3 linked regions of the Astyanax mexicanus genome follow. Each later gene encodes a partner of the first gene's protein in a complex. Links are inferred from orthologs where the notes say so. Each region holds a gene or a part of one and is shown in the gene's direction. Other genes may lie near its edges.

Region 1 (11,431 bases):
TGGGGGCTGTACAAATCACGTACAAAAAACAAATTAGAAAATGTTTATCATTTGAGTGCGGTCAGTTTATTCAATAAATTATGTTATGCTCTTTTTCATGGTAATACCACACTATGCAGGCTCAGTTCATAAATACATAAATAAATAAATAAATAAATAAATAAATAAATACAGTTTAACTTTAAATGGCATTCCCTATTTTAAGATTGTATTATATCATGCAAATGCATTTTGGGTAGAATATCCAATGATCAATGTAATAAAACCTAATATATATTTATTTTCATTTAAACTTGGTTACCTACAACGGTTTGTGGTTTAAAAACACATAATTTTTGAGTATTGAAAATAATTGAAACAAGTAATTTTCTTTTTTTAGGATGCATATCTGGCAGCCATTGGAGCCATGACCTGAAACGTGTGACATGGTAACAATGGCAAAAAGTGTAAATATGCAAATCTATATACACACACACTTTTCTAATAGTCTTCTTGTTGAATATACTTTATGTTAAAGCTTGTATCTTCAACTACAAAATAAAATTTAAATCAACTCAAACTCTTGTTGTTTTTTCTGTTTATGTTCATGCCTATATGTCTAAATAAGGAGAGTAAGTATGAAAACTGTATTTGAGTGGTTGTAGGAAGGGTAACAAAAATAATATATGTTAAAATATAGCTTTTATTAGAGCATGTTTACAAGTAAGGCTATAGGTTTTGGACCATATCAGCTTTAGGTATAAAGATGTTTAGCATAGAAGGTGGGGCGGAGCTGGGCCAGTGTCGGTCTAACTGTAAATGAGTCTGTGCCCTATTTGGACCAGATTTAAAAAATGAGTCATAGATCTGAGCCAAATCTGGGCCAAATGTAATGAAATTCAGTGTCGAGCTGTGCCAGTTCTGGCCCAAATTCAAATCAGATATGCAAAACATATCTGTGCCGATTTGGGCCCGTTGTGCAAAAATAAGCCAGCCCAAATTGGTCTGCCAGATTTGTTACAGATGTTGTGACTCGCCTGGGCCAGATTAGGACCAAAGTAAATTTGCTATCAGGGGTTGCTACTGTCGCATGGGATAATGGCCTGAGAAATAGACCCAAAGTGCAATTTGACCCTATATTCTATTATAATATATGCTATGTTCAAAGGGCAATTATGTACAAAACAAATACACAGTGATGTTTCTCAAATGTGACTGTTTTTTTGAGATGGCTTAAAACTGACTTTTCTTATATTATATTGATATTCATAGGGTCATTATAAAATAACCCACAGTAATATTTGTTCTTCTTCGGGATTTTAACAGTCTGATGCAGGGGTGTCCAAACTTTTTTTGTTGGGGGCCAGAAGGAGAAGTATATTTGAAGTCACAGGCCAAAGACTCTAAAATAAAACAAATAATGAAATATACCAATTTAAATAATACTTTTTTCCTGATTATTTCATTTACACACCATTTTACTTGACTTACTATCTTTATCTTTGACAGTGTTGTGTAAACTAAGATTTTTCAAACTGATGTTTAATTTCATGAAGTCTCTTAATATTAAACTCCTTAATTACAGCAACTTTTAGACTCTGTTTTTCTGCGCTAGAAATGCGCACCATCTCCGCTTTTAGACTCTTTTGCCCCGTTTTTCTGCCCTAGAAATGCACACCCTCTCCGCTTTAGACTCTTTGGCCCGTTTTTCTGCGCTAGAAATGCGCACTCTCCCCGCTTTTAGACTCTTTGGCTTGTTTCTGACACCTATTGTTCAAACTTTGAATCTCACACTATAAAAACCTGCTTAACTGCGGGCCAACTTTCATTTTATTTCTAAAATACCTCGCGGGCCGCTCCAAAAAAGGAAACGGGCCGCAAATGTCCCGCGGGCCGTAGTTTGGACACCCCTGGTCTGATGTATTGTTTCTTAGGTCTGGCAGTTTTTGAGACAATTTAAGACTGAGGAGATAATGCCCTGATAATTAGGCCCACAGTGCAATTTGACCATCAAATTAATTATATCATATATACAACTTCCAATATCATTATACAAAATATCAAAAATAATATTTGTTTATTTTTGGATTTTGACAGTGTGAGGTACCTTATCTTATATCTGACATTTATATTGCAAATTTTACATTCTACTAGTATTTTTTTTTGTGTGTTTTCATTTTCTCAAGTGTGTACCTGTGTGTCTGTATACAAGTTCATGGAACATTCTAATTCCTCCTCTATTTTTTTTTCCACTGCCCCGAGCCGCGGCTTCACTGTCTCCAGCCGTGGCTTAACTGTTCCCACCCGCAGCTTCACTGTCCCCAGCGGCGGCTAGCTGCCCCGCGGCCTAACCTCCCCGAACCGCGGCTTCACTGCCCCGAGCCGCAGCCTAGGACTCCGTTCGGCTGATTAACCGACTTGGGTAGCCCTCGCGTATCTGCTGCGAGACAGTGCGCGCGTGAGAACTTACGCACAACACTGTCTATGTGGTAGGATCGTGACGCAGGACAGTTTCGGCTCTAACCAGCCCTCACCAGAACACGCATATTTATCTTTATATCATATTTATCTTTATTTCATTATTATTATCTTTGTAATCTGGGTGTCATCTCCATCATCATTTCATACACTTCATGTGGCGGAATTCTTCTGAATGTACCACACCTTACAAGGCTCTTCATAAGCGCACATCTAGGTTAAACTCTCCATAAGTCTCAGCAGGCAATCAAACTCAGCATCCATTAAGGAGACGTCGGGCATTTCACAGATTGAACAGGTTGAATCACATGGTCCTGGACAAAGATGCTCTCCAGTTGGTCCATCTACTACTGGCAAGGGTTCAGCCATTTTCTTGCTGTAGATGTAAAAGTTCTCAACGTCCGTCACCGTCCCCATCATCAGTCTCTCTTCTGAAGTCCACATAGGACTGGCTCTGCGGGTGAATGGTACTTCAGTACTGTCTCTTTCTTCTTCTGTTCTTCTTCTCTTTTTCCCAGTCTCCTCACAGTCCTCGCTTCTCTTTCTCTTTTCTGCCTTTTCCCTTCCTGTCCCTTGAACAGACTCAACTGGTCCGAAACCCAGCAGTTCATCAAGATAAGTGTCTAATAGGGAGACATCAGGCCATAAACTGCTTGAGCTGGTGGGACTGGATCTAGGTTCTTCTCCTGGACCATCTACTGGGGGGGCTCTCTCCTCAGTGTTAGTTAGGTTTAAGCTATTAATTAATGTAAAAAAGTATATATGGGGAGCCGTGTGTGTGTGTGTGTGTGTGTGTGTGTATATATATATGTATATATATATATATATATATATATATATACATATATATATACACACACGTCTCCCCATATATATTTTTTTACATTAATTAATAGCTTAAACCTAACTAATTTTATAACGTTTTGTTTCATTATTGACCTTTTTAAGCACTTGTGATGAGTAAAAATGCTGCATAACAAAGTGGACAAACCTTTTTTTCAGTGTTTCCCCCGTCAAGTAATTGAAACCTGCGTGTGATTGGTCAGATGTGTGGAGCACACGCTTGACAGTGGAGACATTAAAGTACCGACTGAGAAAAGGAAGGAGAGCAAAAACACATTGGATAAAAAAAAACTGTCAGCTCTGTGGCACTTGCAGAGCACAAGCGCAACGACAGGGAGGCGGAGAGACAGCGAGATACTGAAGGAAAAAAACGTCTCCTTTTGTGTAGCCGGTTTCAATCATTCACTTCACTAGAGACCCACGTCTCGATGTTGGAGGGAGCAGTAATGAGGAGTGTCCAGTGAGACCGTTTCCTTCTGGACAAACTTTAACTTCGTGTAGTGAAGCTTACTGAGAAATCCTCCTGCATGAAATTGTACGGTAACACTTTACTTGGATGGTCCATTTTATGGCCTTGTTGATGCTCAACTGACATTCAACTAACACTGAATTGAATGTCCATTAAATTTAACTTAACCCTATGTTGAATGTAAATGATTAAAAATAGAATCTAAACGTACACCTAACCCTAACCTTAACCCTTAATCAACCATAAAATCTAACCCTACACCTAACCCTAACTCTAACCTTAACCTAAACTTAAAATCTAATCCTAAACCCAATCCAAAAATATTAAGATAAGTGTTTGGGTTAGAGTTGAATGTAGGGTTATATTCAATAGAAAATCATTTACTTTCATCTTTTAGTTCATTTGCATTTAATAGACATGTAGTTGAATGTTAGTTGAATGTCAGTTGAGCATCAAAGAGGCCATCAAATGGACCATCCAAGTAAAGTGTTACCAATTGTACTTTAACCCATGTCCACCTGGAACCTCATAGCACATGCTCTACCCATAAGCACCACATTGTAGTTATTAATGGGTTTTATGCTGTTGTCTTGTGGCTCATTGGCAGTCATTTATGGTTTATCAAGTTCTATACAAAGTTTGCTGCAGGGGTGTTAGAAATATTCAGAAAATACAGGGATGGACGCCGTGTCGCCGTTCCCATTCATTCAATGAAAAAGAAACCAAAATCTTCCGCCATGTTGTCGATCCTGATACCCGATTCTGCGCAGTAGAGACCAGAGGAAGGAGAAAGACTGTGGAGAGACAGCCTACTCATTTAAATAAACCCGCCCCTGAGGGCTGCCTCGCAGTCACAGACTGCAGAGCGGGGCGGAGCGGAGCTGACGGTCTGTTATTGGTCCCGCCCATAACCAGCCCTTTTACAATAACCACACCTTTTTAAATAGAGCTGAATAAAGTTTTAAAAAACGAATTCTGTGGGGATAATAATAATAATAATAATCCCTTTTAGTCAGCTTCAAATTGTGTCCACAGTTAATCCTGTTGGATGTGATTCGTCCTTCTTGGTGGTATGCTGACATTACCCTGGATACCGTTGCTCTTGATCAAAGGTGGAAAGAGTACAAAAAATGTGTAATTGAGTAAAAGTACCTTTACTTAGCTAAAATTCTACTCAAGTAAAAGTAAAAGTACCCATCTAAAATTCTACTTGAGTAAAAGTAAAAAAGTACTCAATTTAAAATGTACTTTGAGTAAAAGTTACTAGTTACTGTTAATTATTTGAAGTCATAAATTATGTATAGGTGACTATAAACCGTATTTTTATATTTTTACAGTTCATTATTATATTTTTTTTAACTTGCCATTGCTATGCTGCTATTTACATGTTTTTTAACATTCAAGCAGATTGTTTAATGTTCCCAATAAAAACTTAGGCTACACAGCTGATTTAAACAGCGTCTCTCCCGCTAACCGTAATAAACACTGGGAAAAGTTTAGCTGCGCTGGAGAACAAAACTCAGCGCAAACTATGTGTGATAAAATCAGCGGAACATAAACACAGCGTACATTATGAGGCATTTCTCTCACCACCAAGACTTTCAGAAAGGTAAACTCTATTTGTGGACACAGGTTAAGCATGTAACGTAGCGCAGCTTTGATATGTCTCCAGTTTAGTTAAGCGTTGTTTAATGTTTAAAAGGGATCTATGTAATCCATGATCATTAGCTAAGATATTTAGGCTATAGTTGCCTCAATCGCCTGTTAACATCGTGCCGACAGACGCATTTCATACAGCTTTCAGTGCATTTAATATACTAATAATTTAGGCGTTAATGCACAATAGTAGCAAGGGTGTCAAAAGTATTTACATTCATTACTCAAGTAGAAGTACAGATACTGGGGTTTAAAAATACTTTTGTAGAAGTTGAAGTATCAACTCAAACCTTTACTTAAATAAAAGTATAAAATTACTGCCTTAAAAACTACTTAAAGTATAAAAGTAAAAGTAATGAAAGGGGAAAAAAGACCTTATAAACAGAAGCCTAGGCCGCACTACAGGGGCCTATAGTGCGCTACCCCCGATGACTAGATGACTATAAGTACTGAAATGGTGCTTAAAAAAAGTCTTCAGAAATTCTGAGGGATGTTATTAAAATATTTCACAGACAACATAATACCTATCCTTACTACATGCTTTACCAACCAGCTGTAGAATGTAACTTTGCACAATGAACTTTGGACACATTCTATTTGTTGCAGATTAACGTCAATCAAATCTATGGCATATTAATTTACAGAGTTATGCAGTAAACAAAACATAAAAATAGTCAACAAAACCTTTTTTTTTTATATAACTTCTTAAGCTCCAAGCCTAATTTCCGCCTAAAAATACATACCCAAATTTTAAAGCCTTTAACCCTAATATTAAATTATTCAGAGAATTTTAATTTGATCAATTAATATTACAAAATTTACTGAAAACACTTAAAAATATACAATTGAACATGTAATATTCAAAATATGGTAAAAACAAGATTTTCAGTGCTTTTCAGATTTTCTAATTTTTAATTTTAAAATGAAATATTTATAGGTGTGTTTATATAAGTGTTTTTACAGTTCTTTTTTAGCTACAAGGTGTTTACATTCACCATGTAAAATGATAAACTCCTCTCTTTCACGGTTTGGATATTATAGTGATCTGCTCCTGGGATATTTCTTTCTTTCTCCAAAGGACTGGAAACTTTATAAGAACAAAAACTACTAATTTTATAACTTATTTTACAGTAAAGATTGTGTTTCTAGTGTCGGGTTACAGACCCCTCCCCAGATCTGTCTCCGCGGCACCTGATTGGCCGACAGAGATTCACGTCTTTCTTCAGAGAAGACTGTGTTGATTCTGCGCATGTGCATTAGTAAGCTGTAAACCGAGCCAAACCTTTAAATAAAGCGTTAAATTCGATATTATAAGCACTGATTTGACAAAATGAGGATTAGTGTAGAATGGACTGATGGATTTACTTATTTGGAACGATTTTGTGCATTTTGTACAATTGCATCTTTAGTTAAATATTAGTTATAGATAAAAATTTAAATATTTTTCCAATTATAGCAAAAACTATTACAACCCGTTAAAGGGAGTCCTTATTAATCAATGGGGCAAATACAGCTAAAAAACTAGTAATTAACTACTTCTCCAGTATATTTCTTTAATTTTCGAAATGTATTTAGCTAAACAATAAAACTAACAACAAAAAAAAAACACTGCTGCATTACTCCTACTGTGTGCTGACTGAATGGTGAGCTGATGCTTAAAATATAGTCAGAGCTTAAGAGGTATATTTTACTTTATTAGGTTTTTCACTCTACATTATAATTATTATGTGTACAATATATATTATGTAATTATATATACTATTTCTCAAATATTTTGATTAGTAGGAACTACATTGTAGATATGTGCAATCATACAGTAGTAAATAGTAGTAAAAAAGTAATTATATTTATTAGGTATGAAAATCCATTCCCCAAACAATGATAAAATAGGAGTAGGTCAGAATTACATTTAGGATATATGGTCCTGATAATATGTCTTGTAGTCAGAATGATTACTAGTAAACCTTTCATATCTGGTGATGGTGGGGTATAGCTGCTGTGTGTGATTGTGAGTTTAGTGGTGCTGCGTGAACACTGCACAGACATGTGTCCTGTTGCTAGGCAACAGCAACAGCAACAGCAATACAGCGAGGTGAGAGGGCGAGGATAATACTTCCAGCTAATGCTAAATAACTTACAGATAAACAGGTAATTTAGCTAACTACTTTACTAAAAACATCTGTGTTTAATGGATTTGCCTATGATTTCCTTCAGATAACGTAATCATATTGTAGTTACTCGCTAGCTATTGCTTAGCTTAGCTGTGGCCTAAGGCTGGGCTGCCCTGATAGTAAAGAACATTTAACAAACGTTAACATATCTTTTTGGTTGCATTACACTGTATCTTATAATAACGTTATTTATTGAAAACAATCTTTAAACAACCTTTGTTTAACTTTCTCTTCTAAGCATTTGTAAGTGTTAAAATTCTGACTAATCCGACTTATCCTCTGTAACTTACAATGTATTAAGGTAGTTTCATATGCATAAAATATAAGAAATATTAATATTGTACACACACCATTTGTGTGGTAATGATGTTGAGGTCACTATGACTTTCAGTTTTATAAATCTTTTTCTAAATGTCCATTTACTTTAGTCTCTAACGTAACAAAATAATACTCATAGCCTACAACTCTGAAAAACTCTTTACCCACTTAAAATGAAGAGTTTTTTTATTTTATTTTATCAAATTGAAAACCTCTGGATTATAATCAAGAGAAAAATGGATGCTCACATGCCATCAAACCAAGCAGAACTGCTTGAATTTTCACACCAGGAGTGGCATGAAGTTATCCAAAAGCAGTGTGTAAGACTGGCGGAGGAGAACATGCCAAGATGCATGAAAACTGTGATTAAAAACCAGGGTTATTCCACCAAATATTAATTTCTCAACTCTTAATACTTTATGCATATGAACTTATTTTCTTTGCATTATTTGAGGTCTAAAAGCTCTGCATCTTTTTTGTTGTTTTAGCCATTTTTCATTTTCTGCAAATAAATGCTCTAAATGACAATATTTGTATTTGGAATTTGGGAGAAATGTTGTCCGTAGTTTATAGAATAAAACAACAATGTTTATTTTACGCAATTATATACCTATAAATAGCATAATCAGAGAAACTTATTCCGAAACTGAAGTGGTTTCTTAATTTTTCCAGAGCTGTTTAATAAAATACAAAAATAACTTTATGATTATGCCAAACCTGCTGATAATTCATTAAATAAATAAAGTAAATTGCTGGGATCATATTGATTTAGAGAGAAAAAGAGTGTTAAATTTAAGGATAGCAGAAGGGTTAAAGATTTTGAATGTTTGCTTTTAGGCTTTTTAGGGAAAAGTTGCTTTTTGCTCCCCACAATTAATAATAAATTTTTTTAAATATTTAAATCTGGTGGTCATTCAATATCTGGATCAATAGAAATGCTCTAAAATTACATGGAATATTTTTTTCTACAATGACTTAACTGAAGCGTCAAGTGTCAAACAATATAGTAATGACAATACTTAACATACATCCCTCATAATATTTTTTCTGGCTGTCATTATGTTTTAGTCTTTAGCAATATGGACAAAATGAGCATGTGGTATGATAGAATGGGGCACTGCGTGATCAATGAGGAGATGCTGCGAAAAGCAGTTGAAGAACAGGGACCTCAAGGCCGTGCTGGACGAATAGCAAAGGAAGGGGGCATCCAGTATGATGAAGTGATTCAGCTGCGTCTGGAATACAAAAGTAAGAAATTAATTAATACTCTTTTGTTTTTGATGTGCCATGTTATAGGCTCTATGCATGCCAGTCTTCTGGGTCCAGTCTAGTTTTTATGATTTTCTGTAATTGATTAATAAGAAAACAAGTGCAAAAATGCAAAGCCACACTTGAGAGTAGGATCAATGTGGTAAGGATAATGTTTAGGCAAGCATCAGACAGAATATTCAAAAACAGCTACAATGAGTGTAGAAACATGGGGATTTTAATGTTATGGCTGCTTTGTGTAATGTATAATGAAACTAGTTTAAATATTGTGACTGATCTGTGTTTTATCTGCATAGGAATTAAGTATTATGCGAAGTATATAATGATGACAACAGAAAGTTACACATTTTAGTTTTAGGCTTTGTAATGCTTTATATACTCACAGGAATTAGTTTCCAGGAATGAGTCGTCAATTACCTGATATGTAAATGCTAGTAAGTTTGACTTGTGTCCTGGACAGCACCACAGCAGGCAGCAGGGTAGTGAAGAGCCAGGCTAGACAGCACCGGGACACAACAGAAGGTACAGGGCATCTGAATACATGTGAAAAACAGAGATAAAACAGAAAGGAAGAAAACACACAAAAAAGAAAACATCAAATTTAAAACCGTTGCTGAAACTTTCCCTAAATATCATATTATTTAAAGTTATGCATTAATCCTTTGTAACGGTTTCTGCAGAAATCTTACAGATTGACCATTTATGGGAGTTCACATCTCTAACCAAGCTCCAACTTAATAATAACAGCATAGAGAAGATTCAGGGATTAGAGAAGCTCACAAACCTGTTGTGGCTTGGTGAGTTTGAATCTGTTTTTAACATTTACACATAAAAACTTCCTATTGTGAATGTTCTTTATGTTTTGTTACAATTGCTAATCATTGACACAGTTTTCTCTTATCATTTAGATTTGTCTTTCAATAAAATTAAAATGATCGAGGGACTGGAGGCACTTGTGAAACTTCAGACGCTGAGTTTATCCAACAACCAAATTCCTGCCATAGAGAAGATGGACACACTGGAACATTTAGAAATCCTCTCTCTGGGAGAAAATGTGATCTCTCAGATTGATAATGTAAGTTCTGTAGTTTTTAATAGGTGACACAGATCGGGAGATCGCTGGTTTGAATCCCGGTCATGCAGCTTGCCATCAGCTGCCGGAGCCCTGAGAGAACACAATTGGCCTTGCTCTCTCTGGGTGGGTAGACGGTGCTCTTTTTCCCCATCACTCCTAAAGTGATGTTGATCAACACGAGAAGTCTGTAAGCTGATTTATCAGAACCGAGTCACTGTGCTTTCTTCCGAGCGCGCTGTGATGCTACTCGACAATGCTGCATCAGCAACAGTTCAAAAAGAGGCGGTGGCTGACTTCACATGTCTCGAAGGAGGCATGTGCTAATCTTCACCCTGATGGGGGATATACAGCTGACTAGCAGTTGGCCTAGGTAAATTGTGGAGAGAAAATGGGAGTAAATTAAAATAAATCTTTAAAAAAATAGGTGATGTCGATCATTATTGATTTTTGATCAATAAACCAAAAGCATATATTGTAATTGCAGTTCTCCTCACACAATGTCATGCAACATTTCATTGGTTCAATGGATTGCTTGTATGATGTCTGTGCCAGATGCTGCTGGTCATAATCATCACCATCCACTGTGCCTACACAACTTAAGAAATGGAATGGCGTACCCATCTGGCACTCACCATCAGGCTTCGCTCCAACTCCAGTAATTCACATCATCTTGCCATGAGCACTGATGCACTAACGGCCAAATGAATCTTAAATCATTACATTTTTACAGCAGTGTTCCAAAATCTAATTTCAGGTCTAGAGGTGGGGAAAAATATTGATATCGCAATATATATTGTACTGTTTTCATTTACATGGAATCAAATATGGATAACATAGGTGCATATAAAGTCCCTGAGACTCACCTCCAATTTGACTCACTAGATTTAACCCTTCCACAGGTAATATACCTAAGAAGATTTAAGAACTTGCGCTCTCTCAACCTGGCTAGAAATCCCATCTGCCAAGAGACAAACTACAAGATCTTTGTGGTTGCGTACCTCCCAGACTTGGTGTACCTGGACTTCAGGCTTGTGGATGAGCAAACTGTGAGTGAAATATTGATGGGCCATTTTTGTTACACTTATGATTCTTCACATTACAGCAGTAGTTGTAGCTAAAGGGAACTAACGCTTTGACAAGTATCCATAGTTGAATTAATATTGCCTAGGCTGT
Region 2 (11,566 bases), on another chromosome or scaffold:
TCTCAACATCCCAATACTCTACCTCATCTCATCAACACCCCATTTCCCCACCCCATCTCATCAACACCCAATTACTCCACCCCATCTCATCAACACCCCCATACTCCACCCCATCTCATCAACACCCCATTACTCTACCCCATCTCATCAACACCCCCCATTTACTCCACCCCATCTCATCAAAACCCCATTACTCCACCCCATCTCATCAACACCTCATTATTCCAACCTCATGTCCTTGATGCCCCATAAGTCTATCCCATTACTTAATCACCCCATAACTCCACCCCATCTCCTTAACACTCCCTTACTCCTTCTCATCAATACCTCATTAGTCTGTCCCATTATTTAAACACCCCATCCCATTATTTAAACACCTCAACACACCATTACACCTAACCTTATTTCCTTGACTGCCTGTAAGTCTGTCCTATCACCTCAACATCACATTACTCCACCCCATCTTCTCAACTTCTCATTACTGCACCCCATACCCTGAACACACCATTATTCCACCCCATCTCATAGACTCCCCATTAGTCTATCACTTCAATACCACATTACTTTACCCCATCTCATCAATACCTCATTACTTCACCTCATTTTCTTACTGCCCTATTTCCCAATCTACAACTTCTTTACACCTTGTTTCTTCGCTCCACCTCTTCTACATCTCATTAATGTTGCTGCACAATGGCAGAAGTGGTTGAGTTTTTCATCAAACTATTCCTTTAATGCTAAAATACTACAGAAGTCTTTGCAGTGCAGAGCTTGAGGCTGTTTGGGGTTCGAAGGTTGTTGAACTTGCACTGAAGCAAGCCGACAGTTTCGCCTGGGTGCCGCCACTGTGGACACACAGTGCTGGGTGAAGTGTGACAGTGGGCGTTGTAGTAGGAGCTGTTTTGGCCAAAATTTCAGCAACACCTCATAAATGGATCTCATGCACTGCAAATCTGGGCAATATAGCTAATATTTTAGAGATAATAACTTGAGATATATGATGTATTTGCTATAAGAGATGAGATACAGTGAAATAGTGGGAAATAGTGTTTGTCCATGATATCTTCAAGATATCTTTTTTTTTTGCATGTTTGTCACTCTTAAATGTTATAGATCATAATATTTAAAGATAACACAAGTAAACACAACATGCTGTTGGTTAATTAATGTTTTTATTATTTAGGGAGAAAAAACATAACTGGTTTCTGACACCTGAGTTCAGTTTCTCTAGATACACCCAGGCCTGATCACTCTCGCACCTGTTTTCAATCAAAAAATCACAAAGCCAAGAAGTTTTGGGACTACAGTGAACCACAGTGGAGGCGATCGACCAAAATTACCCCAAGAGCACAACAACGATTCATTCAAAGCCCCACAACAACATCCAAAGAACTGCAGGCCTCATTGCCTAAGTTAAGGTCAGTGTTCATGACTCCACCATAACAAAGAGACTGTACAAATGGCCTCCATGGCAGAGTGCCAAGTCAAAAAACACTGCTGAGCAAAAATAACTTGTCTCAGTTTTGCCAGAAAACATCTTGATGATCCTTAAGACATGTGAAAAATGAGAGAACTGGCAAGACAAAAATGTAACTTTTTTGGAAGGTGTGTCATATTCTGGCATAAAAGTAACACCTAATTTCAATAAAAGAACATTATACCTACAGTATAAAAATGGTAGTGTGATGATCTGGGGCTGTTTTGCTGCTTGAAAGACTTGAAAGACTTGCTGTGATAAATGGAACCATGAATCTTGGAGAAGAAAAATGTCTGGCCATCTGTTTGTGACCTCAAGTTGAAGTTATTAGGTTTAAGTAGCAAACAGTTTTTTCACACAAGCCTTTGTTGGTTTGGAATTTTTTTCTCCCTTAATAATAAAATTCATCATTAAAATTTGCATTTTGTGTTTACTTGCCTTTGACTTATAATAATAATTTTGAAGGGGGGTAAACACTTTTTCACACCACTCTATATGTAGTACTATAAATGTTTGAGTATCAAGAAGCTTTTTAAGGATTTAATAAATCTGCACTCAATGTAAAGGTTCTTTACCAATGTCAAGGTTCTTCACATTCACAGATAGATCTTGCTTACAAACATGGATCTGTAGGTATTAATAGTTCTTCTTTGACGGGTGTTCAATCTTCTCTTTAAATGGTCTGTTTGGCTATTAGCTATCATTCTAAGCAACCAAGCCTGATACTACTGGTTTAATCAGTAGGGGAGAGTGGGGTAATGTGAGCCATTTTTTACATTTGCCCCTTGCTAGCTGAGCTACAATGATATATAAGTAAAATTTAATTTTTTCCAATTAATTCAGGATGTTTCCTAGCTATTAAAGTTATCAGAATGTCTTCAAGACAAAGGGCAATGAAAATATGTTTGTGGTCTTGTGTCTCACTTTACCCCAACTCAGGGGTAAACTAAGACAGACCAGAGAAATTAAGGGGGTAAAGTGAACCAGTTGGGGGTGTGCTGTTCCACTTATGTTTTCCACTTGTACACTACCATTAACATTACATTTTGTAACAATTACAATCCTTACAGCTAGATTGACAACCACACATTCCATAACTAATATCGGACTAGTGTTAGAATCATGGAGATTCAGTCCATTAATATTTTGCAGTTCAAAGTTTCACTGGTCATTATCACAACCCACTCACTATTAGTCTGTTATATCATGTATAGTGCACCTGCTGTGGTTTTTGAACTGTAAAGACACCTGTTTCATCCCCATTGTAAATCATGTGTGGAGGGAATGCGTGTCTATTAAAGATGAGAGACAAGGGAAGAACCTTATTGAAATCAAAGCCAAAAATTACAGGTAAAGTCTCCATAAAACTTATGCAGCTAAAGAATTGATTCTGTCACCAGTCCATTACTACAGCGAGATTTTCGAAGAACTCCCTCACTGTTGTTTTATTGAAAGTTGTAGCCCTTCGCAGGGATGTTGCCTCAGGAGTTCATACAGAGAGATGTTGACGTGCTAAGAATCTTCCAAACCACTCTTTTCCTAAAAAGTACAGTATTCATTAGTATAGATTTTGCTTTTGGAAAGTTAACCTACAGAATCATATAGTCATGTAATCTCTTATCTATGTAATCACACGCTAGCCTACCTGCACAATGTTTCTAAGTCCAATTGGCTGGGACGGTGTTTCACTTTACCCCACAGCATTTGTCTCACTTAACCCCACGGCTACCATTTTAGAAAAAAACATAATCTCTAGCAAATCAGGCTAATCTTCAACTAGCATCAATCACATGGTTTGATATGTTGAACGTTCATAAGCATGTATGATATTAGTTTTTCTACCTGAATCAATTTACTTTGATAAAATAGTTGATTAAGTTCAAAGCAAGAAAATTTACTTTTAAATGCATAAAACACCTTTTTGTGAAAAAAAACCAAAACTTAACAGCACCAGCAACAACTTCCTCTTCCTAGTAGTGGGAAATGGGAGGGACTTGACAACATAATGGTCACATGACCACAATTGTGTTCAGTTGCCATGATACAAGGGGTGTCTCACATTACCCGATGTCTCACATTACCCCGCTCTCCCCTACTTGGCAGCAATTAAAACCTTCAGCCACATCAGCCCATAGTGGACAGATTTGACACCCCTCTTCCTTTTATGAACCCTTATAGCATATAATATAATAATATAATTCTTTCTCACACACGCATTATTCTAATGAATGAAAATTGCAGACATAAATTTTCAGAATGCATTAACTCAGGGTTCCCACTGTTATTGCTACACTACTGGTAAAAAATAGGGCCATGTCTTCTTTAATAATGGCTCTATTGGGCAGTTCAGATTAGGAAAGGGGCTTTATATTCCAGCAAATTTTCCTGTTTTCCTGTCAGATGATTAAGCAGAAGGTTCTTTCCCAGAGAAATTAGTTCATCTAACATTCAGCCTAAAAAGCAAGCTTGAAAGCAAACTGTGTGCAAATGAACCACCTGAGGTTTTATTTTAGTTATGTAGTTAAAAATACCCTCACAGGATCAAAGTGTTTTATTTTGTTTCAGATGTGTTTTCACAAAGTGGCTTCACACCCAGATGTCACGCCAAAGCTTTGTGCTTCACAAGTGGCTTTTTTTTACACAACAGACATTTCCACAACTTTGTAGTCAAGCTTCTCTTTAACCAAGTGTGAGACAAAAATCTCTCACAAATGCTGCGTCTTATAACACCTTTCCATTCCCATAGATTTGCAAATATCCCCATGTCTAATTTCACACTGATGATGTTCTAGATTGTTATCACGTCTACTACTGTGTGTGTGTGTGTGTGTGTGTTTGTGTGTGTGTGTGTGAGACCTTCACTTTGCTAACTGGCAGATTTGTGCTCTGTTCCCTATTTAATTCTGAGAGAAATCGAGCTGAGAGTGTGTTACTGAAGAAGACCCACTTCAGACCCCCTCATTCCCTAAATTAGCATCTCTTTCAAGTGGAATTAAGCACTGTGTACACTGAGAGGCACTTAGCCAGCTCTGGATTGCTATTTACTAGCAGATGTGATTTGAAAATGATTTACAGAGTCTTTACAGGACTGGATTAACCTTCCTATTCATCTGAACAATTTCTCTTTTTTACCCGGGGGAATAAGTGCTGAATATCTTTTCTTAATAAATGCATAAAATGTCTATAGCCTTGGGAGTTTCTTTCCTCAGCGTTTTTGCAATTTAAAAGTGGGCCAATACTTTTTCTCTCAGTGCTTTACATATTATTAATTATCTAGCATAAATGAAAATTAATGGGATATAAGAAGCTACCTTATCTCTTAAAAGAGAACTAGAATTAAAATGGGACAGAATGGTATTCAATATGAGAGTTAATGGTTACATGGCTAGGAGAGGATTATACTGTTTCCTGTTTACAGTTTTCCTTGGTTTTTGTTTTGTTGGGGTCTGGTTTGGTGGTATTGATTTGGCTGTCTATTTTTTTTTTTGCTACATATGATTTTTTAACACCTAATCATCTTACTCCCTACATTTTATTTTCTGCTATAAATCCTGCTCTTAACAAAACTGTGTTGATTAATAACAGTTTAGCATGTTATGTATGGTCAGTGTGTTCTGTTTTAGGGTTAATGGAACTTAAACAATGAGAATATGATATATTGATAAAATAAATAATGGAATAACTGGAATAAAAACTTGCTCTTCATGTATATGGTTTGAGATGAGGGATGTACTGGCCATAGGGAGTACCGGGACAATTCCTGGTGGGACGCTCTGTGTGTGGGCTGCTAAAAGAGCTATTAATAGAATCCTATTCAAATATTTTAATGTTTAATGTATGTGCATTGGTCCACAGTACCAGCAGTGCATGGCCATTAATTAGCCAATCCCAGTCAGCAGGTTCATTTGTTCAAAACAAATATGACAGTTCAGACAGTTTAATTCTAAAAGTTTACTGAGACAGGATGGGGAAACCCCAATTGAACTATTTTAAAAAGTCCATTAATAAATAAAGTAGAATTTGTATAGAAAATGGAAAATGCAGAAAAGATACTTTGCAGGTTTATGTAAATATCTGCATATAGGTGGGCTGATGGGGTAGTTTGAGATTGTAGTGTTCTGGTTTGGAAAAAAGTTTAGTTCACAGTCCATATATATGTAAGAAACCACTTAAAAACTAGTGCTTGAATTTTTGCACCAGGAATGACAAAGTTATTCAAAAGTAATGTCAAGATGCATGAAAACTCTGATTAAAAACCAGGGTTATTCTACCAAATATTGATTTCTGATTTCAGCCATTTCTCATGTTCTGCAAATAAATGCTCTAAATTACAATGTTTTTATTTGATATTTAGGAAAAATGTTTTACGTAGTTTATAGAATAAAACAACAATGTTCAATTTTACTCAAACATATACCTATAAATAGCAAAATCAGAGAAACTGATACAGAAAATGAATTGATCTCTTATTTTTTTCCAGAGCTGTAAAATGTACTTTTTTTCTTTACTACGTAACTCCATATGTTTGTCTTAATTGTTTTCATGTCTTTAACATTAATCTACAATGTAGAAAATAAATTAAAGAAAGAAAGTACACATGTCCTTTTAAGTCCCCCCTACTCTGTGACTACTAGCCAATCACAGCGCTTCCTTGTCGCCATAACGACTGGAGACTCTTGTGTTGGCGGTGAACTCTGGAGAACGGAAGGTAAATAAGTAGATTTTCTTCAGCGTGTCTGTTTTAGGAATATCCACAGCAATACCCACATTAAACACATTATTCTCCACAGTATTGTACTCTGTTTACTCATTACGTTCACTTCAATTTACTGTCATTTTGCCTTCTAGTCTGCTGTGTAGCAATAACGTTAACCTAGGTTATCTTACCCAGCTAACCTAACTAGGTAACTAGATTCAGTAGGGCTGAATCATTTCTGTGCCTTTTATACCACCGATGTAGTTAATGATTATATAATAGCATAATAACAGACTTTAAAAAGAGCAGGGAACTTTAAATAATTTAAGTTAGCTATAAAACCTTTGTTTAAACAAATACCAGCTCACACACTTTAATAGGCTCTTCTTGCTAAGATCAACGTTATGGGCAGTATTAAGGACTGCTAAAATTATTGGGATCACATCCATTAAGTCGATAATGTGACTATTGTGTATTGTGGTCTATATATATAGCAGTTATATTTTTGGTCTATGGCTGACAATTGACTGAAATTTACTTACAATTTACTACAGGACTTTTTAAAATGTTCTTTTAAAGTGTTTCCCTGTAAGATCATTCATGACAAACTGTGAAATGCACAGTTGATAGAAAACTAACATATGTCTGAGATAAAGAAGAGATTTATATAGCTAAGAAAAAAAAAGATCTTACACATTTTGTATATGTATGTCGTTTTGATAAGACTGGGGTGTGATGAGTCAGAAAGTCCTTCAGACTGTATTTAGATCAAAGTGAAAAAATTCAAGGGCTGTTTCTCAGGAGTTTTCTCAGTTTCCCAGATTGGTGGAAATTGGGTTTAAAATAAGACTTGTCCAACCATGTGTGAGAGAATAATTAAATGGTTGAGATGTTAACAGTCATTCTGAGAGGGATTTGGCATGAAATGATTCATTGTAGGAACTCAACAACTCTGATTACATTACACGTGTCATGATAAGAATCAGGCATCCCCCATGACTATATAAAAAATAAAAACAAATTACTGTAATGGTAAAGATTATGGTAAACCGTATTTAATCTTAAAATGTCTGTTATTGAGGCCAGTTGTGCTTTATAACAATTTTCATGTACCCCTCCACCATGAATGGATTTTCTCCAAAATCTTCTTAAAGCATTTGTCGTTACCACTTTCTCTGAGGAAGTTTTAGATGCATTAAACTCTTTTATTTACCACTGCTGTGAACAATTCTGACTGTGAAAGTTTTTCTAAAACCAAACATTTTCAACCAATTCAAGTCTGAATCCAATCCGACTGTTCACATCTTAATCCCATTCTATTATTTTAAATTTTGTTATGCAGATTTTTAAATAAGGAATTCTCTGGGTTAAACAGCAGTATACATCTGTGCTCCAGTGGCCTGTTGGAAAGTAAAGGGATCTCCAGAGTAAATTTGTCTCATTATTTTCTACTTTTTCAAGAAGAGAGGACTCATCTAAAGACTTGACTTCAGCCCTTGTGTATTGTGACAACAAAGAAATGCCAGTCATAAGTATGTCCATGGGCAAAGCTCCAGCTGGCATTAACCCACCAGTAAAGATGCTCAATCCTGCTGCAGATCCTCGAAAGATGCGAAGAATTATTGCTGAAGACCCAGAATGGTCTCTTGCTGTTGTGCCTTCCTTAAAAAACTTATGTCTACAGCACATAGTGAATCATTTTGAAGGTAATCTTCTTTTTCTACTACTATTAAGACATTATTCACACACTTTTTAATGATAGATTTTAAGTAATAATATAATTAATCAGGTACTTTGACTAGTATATAGTATATACTATGTTTCACAGTGTTTTACAGCATTTGTTGATTTGTGCTCTAAAATGTTTCAGAGAAGCCTATTCTGAATGAGCTCCTGCCTAGTCAGAAGGCTTTTGTCCTGGAGAAGCTTCCTACCTTCCTGCCTTTGAGCCTAACAGCCAATCTGATCAGTGATGAGGGTTACTGGAGACGCTGCTGTGAGGACCGCTGGGGCCAGAGGGATGTTTCTGAGTATGACCTCAGCTGGAAACGCATGTTCTTTGAGCGTCATCTGGAGAACATTATTGAACTTTTCATTCCCGACCAAACTGAGCCCAAATCAGTGCTGGATGTTGTGCCACTCTGTCAGAATTATGTTAGGAGGCTAAAGATAACTCAGCTTCTGCCACCTATCAGAAAACCACCAAAGTTCAATGAAGATGATGCCTCAGAATCTGCCAGCGATTTGGGCGATGATGGGCCATCAATAGACCACTTTGACTTTAGAATCCTGCTGAACAAGCTTACCAACCTGGAGGAACTGCAGTTGGTTTATGGAGTGAGAGGGTGTGGCATGAACTTTGAATGGAATCTATTCGAGTTCACCTTCAGTGATTGTCAGTTCCTGGCCAAGGCCCTGCAATCGTGCACAACTTTGAAGGTTCAAAAAAAATTTCTGATCTTGTTTACCATAGTATAGCATCTCAGTCAGATGTTTTTTACTTCATTTTGGGCCATTGTATTAAATCATACCTTTTAATTTAACCTTTTTTTGTTTCATTTGCTTGAACAGATTCTTAAAATCAATCAGAGTAACGTGGATGATGATAAGTGCCGGACGCTGGTGAGCAACCTGCTAGATCATCCTTCTCTGCTGGAGCTCGACCTCTCACACAATATCATAGGTGACAGAGGAGCAAGAGCCCTCGGGAAGCTCTTAAACCGCAGTCACCTGAAGCAGTTGGACATTTATGACAACAAAATCAAGGGGCCAGGAGCCCAAGCTTTAGCCCACGCCCTCTCTAAAAACACCCCTTTAGAGTCCCTCAACCTGAGACTGAACCAGATAGGGGATGAAGGGGGCCAAGCTTTGGCCCAGGCCCTGTTAAAGAATTGCATCCTCCTAAACCTTCACCTGGGAGCCAATGAGCTGACAGAGCCCACAGCCACAGCACTGTCCCACATGTTAGTGCACAACTCAACTCTGAAGAGGCTAAATCTGTCCTGCAATAGACTGGGAGAGGTGAGTTCTGCTCCGCTTGTTGGTACTCACAGTAATAATTCATTGAAGAATCATATAATAGAAGGGTGTGGTGTTGGGTATAATGCCTCTCAGCATTAAGTTGTGGCGCAGTGGAACTGTGTTCTCTGGAAAGATGATGCTCCACCCATTATTTTTGGGATGAGGTGAAATTGTGGCCATCTAACTTCCTGACATCACTATCACTCTAAGTCTAACGCTAAATGCAATCAAATTCTCGCAGCAAAGTTTCCAAAATCTAGTAAAAAGCCTTTTTTAGACAAAAAAACTATTTATGTGGAGGGGTTTATTACTTAAGTGTATATCCTCTTTTTCAGCCTCCAATAATTTAGGTCCAAATTGAGGTTATAAGGAGTGTTTTAGCTTGGACTGCTAGGACTACTTCGAGAGAATAGTATAAACTAAACCTTGTTAAACCTTTTATATTAGACATATGCTGTTTTTTCACTCTGTATAAAATACAGTTTTTAATACGGAATGGAGACTCAGCTCTTTGCAGCGGCTCGATTTACAAACATGAACATGAAAAGATTCACTCTCTTCGTTCTGACCGTAATACACGCTCAATTATTCATGGAGCAGGGATAGAAGTGCACTAACAGGCTGAGCTGTGGAAGGGGATTACCACTCCCTGGGGGTCTCATCATCTCTATTGCTTCTTCACTGGGGTCTTTACTCCCCATATCCGCCTGGTTCTAATTCAACACAAATTGTATTAGAAATAATTGCCTCATTCAGGAGAAAGCTCTGGCTCCTTTGTCAAGAAACATTAGAATCGTGATGTCTAGCCTGCGTGTAGCCAGAGTGCAGAATATGATCTGCTTGGTCATCACTGTGCTGTGACCTTGAAACAGTATTTTGCTGCTGGGAGTGAAAAACGCCTGTGGCTGACCTGCAAGCTAAACATTGATCGTTTACAGAAAAGTGGCACTGTGAGTCATCTCGTCTAACTTTATATTCAAACACTTGCTAAATGTAGAACTATATTCTTATCATGCCTTATTTAAGTCTATATGAAATAAAGACAAGGTTAGTAATGTAATGCTATCATAATGTACATTTGCAATTCGTACTGCCTTGCAGTTTGATAAATAAACCGTTATAAATTTGCATTCAATATTTTTAATAAGTCTGGGCTAAATAATTATGTTTTGCATTTGCTTGGATTATAACATTTTGCAAAAATGGGCTCCTGTACATTTAGTAAGTGTAAATTGATTTCTGACCCAAGATTGCAGGACACATATTCCTGTACAAGCTGAGATATATAGAAACATCAATAAAAGTGAAAAAAAAATGTAAACTAATATTTTTTTTTACCATATATTACACCATATATACCATATATTACTATTAAGCTGTTCTCACAAGTATTGGCCTGCCAGCTTTATTAGAGTGATACAGGGCAGTTATCAGCATGCCAAGCCCAGAGAAGCAATTAGATAGGTGTTATTTTTCAAGTCAGTGAAGTATCAACATGTTAAGCTATTTACTTAATTCTACATATGTTTTGCTTTAATGTCATGTTCAGTCTTAAACACATTCTATTCAAATGTACCTATAATGCCATTTATTTGACATAAAGATATATAGTCATTTCATTACACAATCTTTGTATAATCCAATGTATTGTCAAGTTAAGTAAGGGATGCTTCATCACATTTAAATCTTTTTATTTATTTTTATTTTATTTATTTTTATTTTATTTTATTGTGGAACTGTAAAAATGTGGGGTGATGATAATGCATGATAATAGTCTAGGACAATATTATGTTTTTTTTTTCTTTTTATAATATAATTATTGGATATAATTTATTTTAGAATAGTATAATGTTTGGAAATAAAATGCTGTTAGTTACTCAAGCATGCTTTGTACAGTGTAATGCAGTAATGACTAACAGCTTGTCCAGTCTAGGCTGACATTTAACTGATGTGTTGTATATCCTGTGTTTGTTTGCTGGCGTGTAGGATGGTGGGAAGGCAATGGAAGAGGGAATGTCGCACAACAGCAGCCTGCTGGAGTGTGATATCCGCCTCACTGGTGTCAGACTGGAGAGTGAGTACAGCATCAAGAAACACTTGCACACCAACCAGGCCAAAGGCAGGCAGGACACAGCAGCCTCCAGATAATTCCCAGACAAGGGAGGATTAAATAACCTTCATTCATTTAAACCAATCACACATAGAAATGTGGTGTTGTCAATATGATCTTTACACAAATGTGTGTGGGACTTTGGATATAGGCATAAATAAATAAAGAACTGTTAAAGAAAAGTTAAAGTATATTTACTGAAGCTCAGAATGTGGTGTTTTTTTACATCTTCTTTGTCTAATTCATCTTAATTTCTGGTTCT
Region 3 (10,813 bases), on another chromosome or scaffold:
GTCGAATACAAGACATTACGGATATTATCTTCATTTAGTAAATGTAGAATAACCTTTAGTACTGCTTGCCATTGGTCAGATCAAACATTTTTTAAAGAGGTTTTTGTACAGGATTGTTGCCACCTATAAGTAAAATCAGCTTGGCTCATTTTTGTGCTGAGCAGCGTGTACAGAGCTATCAGGCTACTTCATCTGTGTGCTAGCTGTGAAGCGGTGTAGATAATTAAAATGCCACTAAATGTGTATCATAGTGGCAAAAAAAGACAAAGTCCAAATGAAAAAAACATATACATTTCTATTTCTATTTAAATGTACTTACTGTGAGCTAAAACACATTGTTATTGTGCTTAACATATTTTGGAAGGTAATTAAATGTTCCAATTTTATTGATCCCAAAATAATTCCGCCATATTTAATGAAAATTAAACTACTTCTTTCTTTTGATTAAACTATTATATAAATGAAGTTAACCACTACATACAGCACCACATACCAGCACATCCACATGGTTGGTAGTAAGAGGATGACTGGAAGGGCCATTCAGGCATCCACTCATCCATGCTAATGTGGTTACCATCGCTTTCCATGACAACCAGTGTAAATGATTGTACTGGTTACCAGCAGTCAGTCAAAGACAAAAGAGTGGTGGCCGAGAAGAGTTAATCACAAAGCGTCAACTGTGTGGCGGCATCTTCTCTGTGTGTAAATGCTGAAAGTCCTCCTTCTGAAAGAAAAGCAGCCTTCCAAAATCCCAAAAAAATCAAACACAGCAGAAATACATTTCCCAATATCGAAGAGCACAGCATCCCAGTTCCCACATTTCTGCACAGCATCAGTCCAGGGGTTTCCACACCAATCAAATAAATCAACTCTATTTACAAAGAGTGGAAAGGCTTAAAGAATCCAGTGAACCTGAAAAAAACTTGGCCACTCCCTCAAAAATAATATGCAACAATGTGAGAAAAGTAGTAGTGATTCTGAAGAAATCTGGAAACTTTCTGGACAGCAGAACAGGGTATCTTGAATCTATGTCACCTTCTCCAGCTCCTCCAACTTCTTGAATGTCTTGGTCATATGTGTTTGCATTACTCTGCTTCAGGCTGACGTTCTCTTCACCGCAGATGAGCCAGGAAAAACTTCTTCCCGTGTCATTTCCTCTTTTCCTGTGCCACTTAAAATTGGCTGGCTATAAAAACTAAAGCAAAAAAACAAAACCTGATTGTCTTAGTACTAGAACTTTTCCATATTGGGCTTTGTTTCAATTAGAAACCAAGCTAAAAAAAAGAGAAGGTTTAACCTGCTGGTTTTGGTCTTCTTTTCAGTGAGAACAAAACAGGATGCCTGTAAACAGAAAAATGTCCCACCCGTAATAAACATGAGTAATGAAAGCAGAACGCTGCCCAGATTTGTGTTCCTTTCACAGCGAAATTGAGAAATCCTTGAGGAACAGAAAGACAAAAATGTATCCAATCAAAGTTTTACCTGTCAAACCAAAACCATGCCCAAGGTAAGGAAAGGTCACTCCAAATTTGGTAATATGACCTGGTCAGCTGATTGGACTCAAGGTAGAACTTGTAGAATGTTCTCTCATCATGTTTGTCCACGAACATGAAATAAACAGCAACAAAAACATGTCACCAAATCAGCCTGGTCCTCCCATCACAATCCACAGTTGTCATGGTAAGCAAACACACAAACACGACGTTGGTGCTAGCAGAAGAAAGCACGTGGTCCAAGTTCTCCTGACACTGAACTCTCTTCTTTTATTCCATAAATAGAACAGCCACCAGTTCCGTCACATAAAGCCCCACTGTCTGCTGAGGCCAGAAGCAGACAATGATGGAGCATGAGCCAGTAAGAGCATAAAAAAGTGTGTGTATTCCTATAATTCCTGCAATTTCCACAGAACATCCATGAAGTGGGTCACAGAAACACCATGAAGAGATTAAAAAAAAAAAAAAACTTTTAGGTTTTAGCCCTCAAGTTCAACAGCAGGACAAAAATATCACAGGGCATCCCATAACCAGCCAGCTCTGTTCACCTTTCAGCCCAGGGAGCACTGTATGTGCTTGTTTGCAGGATGGTAGGGAGTGGACGGGGGCCACAAACAAGTGTGGCATCGGTCACTATGCTGACACAGCATGTTCAGTCATGGGCTGCTGTTTGTGGGTGTGTGTGGGGGCATCTGTACAAAGACCAAAAGATTGCTGCGGTTGACACTCAAACACATGACTTCTACTGTCAGGAAACTTTTTCTCTTAAAGCGACAGTCATTTAATTTGCCCATCTTCTCAGATCCACTGAAAGATTTTTCAGGGTTCCTCTAGATTGTTAAAGAGTCGATAATTTACTTAGCAATAGGGGGTGGGCAATATGGCCTTAAAATAACAAGACAATATTTTAGGGTATTTTTTGCGATATGAAAAAACAAAATAAATATTTTATTATTTTAAGCAATATACTACTTCAACTGAATAAAACGTAAAGTTTTATATAGTTGCGAAATCCTCTGTACCCGCTTCTCATAATCTTTGGTTTGAAACAGTCTTAAAGTGCATAGGATCAGAAAAAATCAAATCACTCACTTAAAGCGTCTACAAGACAATTTAGGCAATGTGGACTCCATTTTTATCTTATGTAAAATAGCTGGACATACCTGCAATTCCAGAATGAGAAAGGTTCTTAATTCTTAACTCATATGTTTTAATAATTTGGGTTTTGTTCCTAATATCCAAGACTGGATGCATGATTGGATGATGGGAAGTTAATGGGTAGCGAAGATATTTGGCCCTTGTTAAGGAAATTGTTTTTGATTAAGTTGACTCACACCTTTTTTTCCCCACCCTTTTTTAGTTGTTTAGTCTTTTTACTAGTTTTTTGTTGTATGGTTATGCATTTGTACTGTGCAGCTTATAAACATATTTATGTTGTAAATTCCAAGTACTTTAAAAGCTTTTTAAAAAACTATTTTTTAGTTCCAAACATTATGTAGAAACAAATCTGTAAACTTTTGTCTATTCTGAAAACAGTAAAACAATCTAAATTTTGATTTTGTATAAAATATTAATAATAATGTAACAAAATAGGTTTAACCTAAGAATTAACAAAAAATACACAATACTACTGCGCACATATTTAAACAAAAATTACAAACAAATCACTTAAATCACACTGTGGTATCACAGTGACAGGAAGACATTATAACATTATAACTATTTTTAAAAATAAAAAGTTGGTAAACTTTTTTAAAAGTCCATGTCTAAAATTTAAGAAATGCTGCCCACACAGACAGGATCCTAAAGCAAAACAATGCATTCAGGCATATTTGAACCTTCTATTTTATTGAATGTAAATGCTAACAGACAATAAGAACACTTTTGTTTAATTAGTTTAGTTTAATGCTCATATCTAGCAGTGAGCTCTAGATATCTTTGCAAGGTCAGGACAAATAGTTCCCTTTTGATTTTAACACATAACCCTGCATCAGTGCACTGTCTGCTTAGCGAGAACAAATTAGCAACAAATTATGAAGTGAGCATTTCATGAGTTTCAGACAGTAAAAACAGCAGACTGTAAAAACAGCAGACAGGGAGAAGGCATGGTGCACGAATATGTTTATGTCATGCCCTAATCAATCATTTTGTATATGTATATGTATATGTGTGTGTGTGTTTGTGTGTGTGTGTGTGTGTGGTGATGTAAGGCTTAAATAAAGCTTTTCGGCCATGGAAACGTTTCATGAAGCTCTCTACACTCTACTTTTCTTGAGCTAATCAAAAGTTTGAATGCCGGTAGAGATGTAATTTGGTGACCTCTGTGCACTATTCCTTTCACTGTTCCTTTCCAGTCCCTTCTACTGACTGTGAAATATTTAGCAGTGAGGATATTTCACCTTTGGACAGTTTTACAGGAGGCATCCTGAGAGCGAACCATTCTTTTTTACTAACGTTTGTAGAAGCAGTCTGCATGCCTTGGTGCTTTGTTTTATACACTTGTTGCCATGGAAGTGATTGAAAGGATTAGTGATATTTAATAACCAGATTATTTAATAACCAGTGGGTAGCGCTGTCTCCTCACAGCAAGACGGCCTGGGGTGGCCCGGGTCTTTCTGTATGGAGTTTACACCTTCTGTATGGAGTTTCCTCCCACAGTCCAAAGACGGGCATGTTCGGGCCAATTGAGTATTGGCTGAAATTGCCCCCTAGGTGTGAGTGAATGTGTTCATGTGTCTGTCTGTCTGTCTGCCCTGCGATGCATTGTTTCAGCTTGATTCAACCTGGTTTGATGGCTTGTGATCATCCATTTGTGGACACAAAACACTGCTTTACATAACTACAATTCTTTTGCAAGGAAAAAAGAGAGAAAGAGGAGAAAATGTCCCAGACAGAAAACAAAATGCCCTAAACTGCAACAATAAGTGATATTTGATAAATGGAGGTGTTACCAGTGTTGTCCAAAATTGAAAAAGAAATATATGTCATATATACATATATACACGAACATGTATTCTTTAAGAAAAGAATGGTTTTATGCAAGCACTGAGTGCACAGATTATACATTTTCGTACAAATTTGCTCATCTTCTCCAAACCCTTATGGAGAAGCCCTCGGCTGAATGTATTATAATTCGTCCTGTTCTGAGAGACAGTGTGTGAGGCTGGTGAGAGTTACTGTGTGTGTAGTTAAGGACATGTCAGTGTGACAGTGTAATGAATGTCAGATACTCACTCTCCTCGGGACGCTCCGAGGCCTCGTCCCCCAGCAGCCCGCTGTTAGATTCGTCCCATGTTAAAATCAGCGGAACGTCGTCGTCCATCCCCACCCTGGACTGAAGAAACGCACAGTAAATCCAGTAAACCGAGTCTGGAGTCTAGCGCTGAGAGCTGCGGCACGGGTCACACATTAAACAGGCCAGCTGGCGGTCTCCCAGCGCTCCACACAACTTGGGTGAAGTTTGGACATTGGAGGCTCGGTTCTGCGCAGCAGCGTCTCTAACCGGAGATAAGGCTAATGCACTTTTCTGCAGGAATATGCAGCTGTAAACCCGCGCTGAGGAGCTCGCTGAGCTGTTTAACGCAGATCAGCTCGAGCTAAACCGGCATAACCAGAGATAAGAGTGAAGAAAAGCTCAGTTTAATCCAGTCTGCCGCCGCTTCACCTTCACTGTCTTACAACACTGTTTTACTCTTCACACTACCCTAACACGGGAGTATACACCAGCTTTTTACGATTTAATCCGCTAACTGTGACCATCTTCACTCTCAAACAACTGACACAGGAAAACACCAGACTTTACAAAAACGTAAATAACAGACAACCATTTTACGACACTTGTAGTCCATTGACGACCAAACTTGAGGCATATTTTTCACAATAAAAGTCCCGTTTAACAATATGTTTTCTCGGAATTTCTTGTTTGTTGTTTTATATAAATGGCATAGGTATTTTCCGGTAATTTAAAATGTAAAGTAGAACAAACAAAATGAATAAATAAAAAAACTAACAAAAATAAAAAAGAATTATATTCTTAAAGTAGTAGCATAGTATTACTAGTAAGTAAAACCAATTTTTTTTCTTACCGTGTCGTGTTTTACACATGCAACCCTGATGGCAAAGAACATAAAAAAAAACGTTTTTTCTTTTTTCTTTTACCGTCGATTATGAAAAAACAACCATAAAACAACATTTATGTAATACTGCCTAATAAGAATCGGTTAACAATAAAATCCCATTAAAAACAGTAAAAACGTTGAATTAACGTTAATTTGAAGGTTTTGAACCTTCAAATTAAGAAGGTTGTGTGTGTGTGTTTCCTGACACCTAGCTGTATCATACACACTTATTTTTAGTGTTCTGTGTAATTCGGTTTAAATTCTATTGATTTTTTAAATATATAAAATGTAATATTCACTAGAATTGGCACTGTATCCAAAATATAAATGGTGTGCGTGTCTGCTGCCACCTAGCTGTGACACAGTTGCTGAAATGCTATTGAATTTGTGAATATATAAAATATAATAAAAAATTTGAGCATTTCGCATAATATTAATGGGTGTGCAAGTTTCCTCATGACTCAAAGTATACATCCCCGTTATTCTGATGTTTATGAACCCTAAGGATATGGAGCTAACGTTATTGGTGTTTTTTTTTTTCTTAAAGCCATCTATTCTTATGTGGGAACATTAATAGGCATTTTTATGCACTGAAGTGATTTGGAGGTAAATAAATGAGTGTGTACAGATGTAGAGGTGGTCTAGAAGTACATGCATTTTATTCTGACAGGAAAAGTGCGCTTAGTTTTTCGGTATTAACGCTAAAAGGGCGTTGCGCAAATTTCACCCAAACAGTAAAAGGAAGGGTGTGCGTCACTCTCTGTGGTCGTACTGTCCTGATTATGTAACGTTAAGTATCTGCTGGCTACCATCCTCCGTTCAGAAGTTATTAGAGCCGAAAAGTCGAATATCAAAAATGAAACTAACTTTACCGTGGTAAAAATAACTCCTTTTTTCTTTAAGTAAGAATGCAAAGTTCGTGTATGACTGAATCCAGTGTTTATTGATATAATTGTGTATTATTATATAGAGCAGTGTGTATATCTGTAGAGCTGTATGAACTCAGAAGAGCCTATGTGTTTAAAACTGTCATGGCAACCAGCCATAGCGACCAGTGTATACACACAGCACTGCAGCGGAGCCAGTCTACAAGCAGTTTACCTGAGTTTTACTGACTTCAACTGCCGCAGATCTATAATTACAGCGTTACGTTGATGGGAAAAACCAAGCCACCGCGTAGTTAGTGTTTTAGAGAGTTTTGGAACCGCTCGGCAACAGTGAGTACAGACTGAAGCGTTTTCCCACCTTTGACCTGACCTCTCTCATCTGGTTTCAGCCCACAGCCTAACTGTGTACAGGCTGCTCAGCTAACTAGGTTGAATGGCTGTACAGGCATGATTATTGACCCTCCTATAACTGTGGTGTCATCTGACCCCATTCAGTGTTTAAAGTCTCTGAAAAAGTGTCTGACCTTGTGATTCATATTTATTGTCTTTTCCTAAACTGATGAAGACAAATAATAATAATAATAATAATAATAATAATAATAATATAATATTGTATTTTCAATGTTCTGTTCATATTTTCTAGGTGCTGCAACTAATAATTATTTTGGTAGTTGACTGATGATAATTTTTACGATTAGTCAGCGATTATTTCTGCCATGTTCTCCATCTCTAAAAACAATAGAAAAAGCTGAACATAAGATTTAAATGCCATATAACTGTTTATATGTTGTTTAAACGTGGAAAGTTCTGATATTTCGTGATTAAATATGTAATCTGTTGTGTTTAGGCACTTTTGGAGACACACGTTGAGTGTAAACAGTGTGAGTGAGCCATTTACCCTACTCGCTTTTGTCCCCGGCAGTTTGTGTAATGCGGGAAAAGTCGACAATCAAATTTGTAGTGGACAAAATTAAATCATCGACATTGTTGATTATACTGACTAAAGGTTACAGCCCTATACACCCCAGTGTTATTTAACAGGTTAGCTAAACCCCAGGCTGTTTAATCTGTATAAACATAAGAAAAAAGACATTCAGTTTTATAATCTTTCTCTAAACTTCCCTTCACTTTAGGCTTAAACTTAATAACGCAATATTTGTAATAATGACAGAACCACTGATAATTCATCAAATAAACATGGTTTGGGGCTGCTTTGCTGCAGCAGGGCATCTCAGGCTCTTAATCATAGGATCTACTATGAATTATTGTGATTGACACTTCTGATTGAGTCCAATTGGGTGATTGGGTGCAATTTGAGAACATCTGTGTAAAAACTACATAACTGTAAGGCTGTCCAAAGTATCTCCATTTTTGTCTATTTTTAGTTTATTGCATTTGTAAATTGTAATTTAATTGTAAATTGCTTTTTTGGAGATATATGTTTTTCACTGAACAGCAACAATATGTAATTTAACACAACTTTATTACCTCCATCTCTCTGTATGGCAAAATGAAGATCAGATGTCCATATGTTGAAATATGATGTAAAAGACAGATGTTTAGATGGGGTCCCCTTCTTTTTTCACCTGATTTTATCTCTCTAACAGTTAAAGCATTTTCTTTAATGTTGTTGACATGTCATCCTTTTCTTAGAACTGCTCGTGTCCATGGCATCAGAGACAGATGAAGCACTCTGTGTTAATGAACGCCAAACCGAGACCCCCTCTTCCGTCACCCCCCATAAAAAAACACAAAAACTTTTAAACTTATCTAGGAAGAAACTGGTGTCTTTGGAAAAACAGCGCATTTTGGGAGTTGTGGATGAGTGCATCAGTTTGATGGAGCTGGTGGCCCTGCTGCCCTCTGAATTAACCCACCCTGAGAGCCTCTCTGTAAGCCTCAGAGCAGAAATGACCAGGGCCCTCACTGAGGACCTGCATCTGTCAAAAGCATACCAGGACCTGAGCCTGGACCCTGGAGCCAAAGGACAGGAAGCAGCTGCTAAAGCAGTGCAAGATTCATTACTGAACATTTCACGGCTGCTGAGGGCCTGTCCTACTGCAAAGGTGGGGCTAAAAGGGGCAGGATCTATTGAAGAAGATAGAAAAGGTGTAGAGGAGATGTTAGAATGGTTACAGGACAATAGAGTTGTCCTACTAAAGCGGCTATTTATGACACCTATGGAGGAGAGGGTACGCATTCAGCGCATGCAGGAAGACACTCTGCGTCACAACAGCAACCAAAAGGTGCTTGCCACTCTGGAGAAGGAAGCTGCTGCAGCGGTAAAGGACAGGGATAAAGAGGTGAGGGACAGTCAAGCACTTTGTTTAAAACTTTGCACTATTCACTAGAGATGTACCAAGTTTAATTTTGTTTTTTCAGGTTTTTCATCCATTTTGCTACTTTTTCCACAATTGAAGTTACAAAGCGAAATAAATATGAATTTAACACTTAACCTTTAACCCAGAAGACATACCAGCAAAGTTCAATACAGTTACCTCTGCAGTGCTACTCTAGTAAGAGTTGCCAAACATTTGGTGTATCCCTACTGTTCCCAAAATACTGTTTCAGTGCCCTCTGCAGTCCTTCATTTGGACAGTCATTTCCGGTTGAGAGTATGTACTGTATGTAGAGTGTAAATTGTAAATTGTAAAGCACCCTTGGTTGCCTTAAAAGGTGTTACACAAGTGCCAATCGTTTATTCATTCATTCATTTCATGAATTGACCCCTTAACACTGTTCTCTGAATAGAGTACTAGTATTACATGTATGTTTATTTATGTCATATTTATATTAGACTAGCACCGGAGTGCTAGTGATAGGGCCATTAGCAGTGATTAAAAAACAGTTCTTCAGGAAATCTGCTACTTATGTATAATAGGCCTGCAGGGGGTGTTGTGGAGCCATGTTTGCTCAGATGTTCTAGGAGATTGTGAACCTCCATAGTGCAATGTACATGGGTACCTACCTGTTGTATGCACTGACTTATCCTTTATATGCTATATACTGTGTCGTATTGTGGGATTATTAAAGTTTACATAATACTCTGCATTGTTTTCAGAGACCAATGCAAAACATCAGAACTCCAAAGTAGTGCACAATATGGTACACATGGCACAGTTTTATACATTGTTCAAGATTTTACAGTGTGCTTAAGTTATTGGGGGGGATTTAGAACATATCCTCTCTCTCTCTCAATCTCTCTTTTTCTGTGTAACTAATGAAGTAAACAAAAAAATAGATTTCTGACAGATTTCTCTTCCTCTTTCTCTTATTCAGTGCTTCATTTTTTTTATTTGTCCTGCAAACATAATCTAGGAATCTTATTAGAATTCCATCCTGGATTTTAATGTTATTAAAACGTCATAATAGATATGATATGTCATGTTACTAACAAGACTTTTCTTTTTTCTCTTTTTCTCTTTCTGTCATAGATCAGTTGGATGAACAAAGTGATTCAGTGGCTGAGGAGTTCTATACTCAAGACAGAGAAATGTTCAGACGATTTTGTTGTGCGAAAGCAGAAGGAGGCTGAGAGACACGATGAATCAGTTCAGAAAACCTCAGAGCTGAAACAGACACGACTCCAGGAGGAAGTCAATCAGCTGAAAGTTCAGCTTAAAAACCTCATCATACAACACAGAGATGCAGAGTTGGCACTGCGCAAGGTGTGCTTTTGTGTGTGTGTGTGTGTGTGTGTGTGTGTGTGTGTGTTTAAACTGTTGTTCTGTTTATGTTAATTCATTCATCCTCAATTAGGAACATCACTGTTATTCGAATTTCAATCTGGATATTGTTATTAGATACTAGAGATTAGATGTTATTAGATTAGACTGTTAGTATGTAACTGTATTACCTATTTCCTTAAGGATGTAAAGCTTTGGCATCAGGTTACAACCAATTTTTAGATTTAATGCCAGATAAACTGCTTTTATAGGATGACAGCAAGTTCACTATTGTGTGGGCATGCTCTACACATGGCATATTCTCATATCACTGTTTGCTCTTTTCTACAGAAAAGCTACAAGGTGGAGACTGAGGTGCAAAATTGGATTGAAAAATATGATGCTGAAATGGGAGAAAAACAGGTGAACACAGATCAATGTTATTAATCAGCCAGGACGTAGTGGTATCTGAATTCTGCTTTTTTTTACACTACAAAACATGCACAAATTAATAAGATGTAAACTTAATGGCAAATTATATGTTTTGTTAGGTAGTCTTTAGTAAACATACTTATGTGTTATTAAAAAGTATATTGCACAAGCTGGTGCATTTGCAAAGATATCACTGGCAAGAATCAGGACTAATTTAA

Evidence for each region.
Region 2: drc3 (region 1) and tcte1 share a complex: the UniProt entries of both Homo sapiens proteins name them as parts of the nexin-dynein regulatory complex. The link is inferred for Astyanax mexicanus from reciprocal best matches to the Homo sapiens genes DRC3 and DRC5.
Region 3: drc3 (region 1) and iqcd share a complex: the UniProt entries of both Homo sapiens proteins name them as parts of the nexin-dynein regulatory complex. The link is inferred for Astyanax mexicanus from reciprocal best matches to the Homo sapiens genes DRC3 and DRC10.

Annotation. Positions count from the first base shown.
Region 1 is NC_064426.1:31,308,892-31,320,322, reverse strand, and holds the start of drc3 (dynein regulatory complex subunit 3), read left to right. Parts: upstream 1-6,614; 5' UTR 6,615-7,573; intron 7,574-8,982; 5' UTR 8,983-8,993; coding exon 8,994-9,162; intron 9,163-9,863; coding exon 9,864-9,980; intron 9,981-10,091; coding exon 10,092-10,258; intron 10,259-11,157; coding exon 11,158-11,304; intron 11,305-11,431. UniProt on the Homo sapiens protein: Component of the nexin-dynein regulatory complex (N-DRC) a key regulator of ciliary/flagellar motility which maintains the alignment and integrity of the distal axoneme and regulates microtubule sliding in motile axonemes.
Region 2 is NC_064408.1:85,883,733-85,895,298, reverse strand, and holds tcte1 (dynein regulatory complex subunit 5), read left to right. Parts: upstream 1-6,121; 5' UTR 6,122-6,185; intron 6,186-7,634; 5' UTR 7,635-7,692; coding exon 7,693-7,879; intron 7,880-8,043; coding exon 8,044-8,612; intron 8,613-8,744; coding exon 8,745-9,194; intron 9,195-11,180; coding exon 11,181-11,342; 3' UTR 11,343-11,492; downstream 11,493-11,566. UniProt on the Homo sapiens protein: Component of the nexin-dynein regulatory complex (N-DRC) a key regulator of ciliary/flagellar motility which maintains the alignment and integrity of the distal axoneme and regulates microtubule sliding in motile axonemes.
Region 3 is NC_064408.1:34,841,829-34,852,641, reverse strand, and holds the start of iqcd (dynein regulatory complex protein 10), read left to right. Parts: upstream 1-6,143; 5' UTR 6,144-6,487; intron 6,488-6,648; exon of another isoform or gene 6,649-6,828; intron 6,829-7,318; exon of another isoform or gene 7,319-7,379; intron 7,380-8,151; 5' UTR 8,152-8,165; coding exon 8,166-8,801; intron 8,802-9,932; coding exon 9,933-10,166; intron 10,167-10,514; coding exon 10,515-10,586; intron 10,587-10,813. Other genes in the region: tpcn1 (two pore channel protein 1), read right to left, coding at 494-587. UniProt on the Homo sapiens protein: Component of the nexin-dynein regulatory complex (N-DRC), a key regulator of ciliary/flagellar motility which maintains the alignment and integrity of the distal axoneme and regulates microtubule sliding in motile axonemes.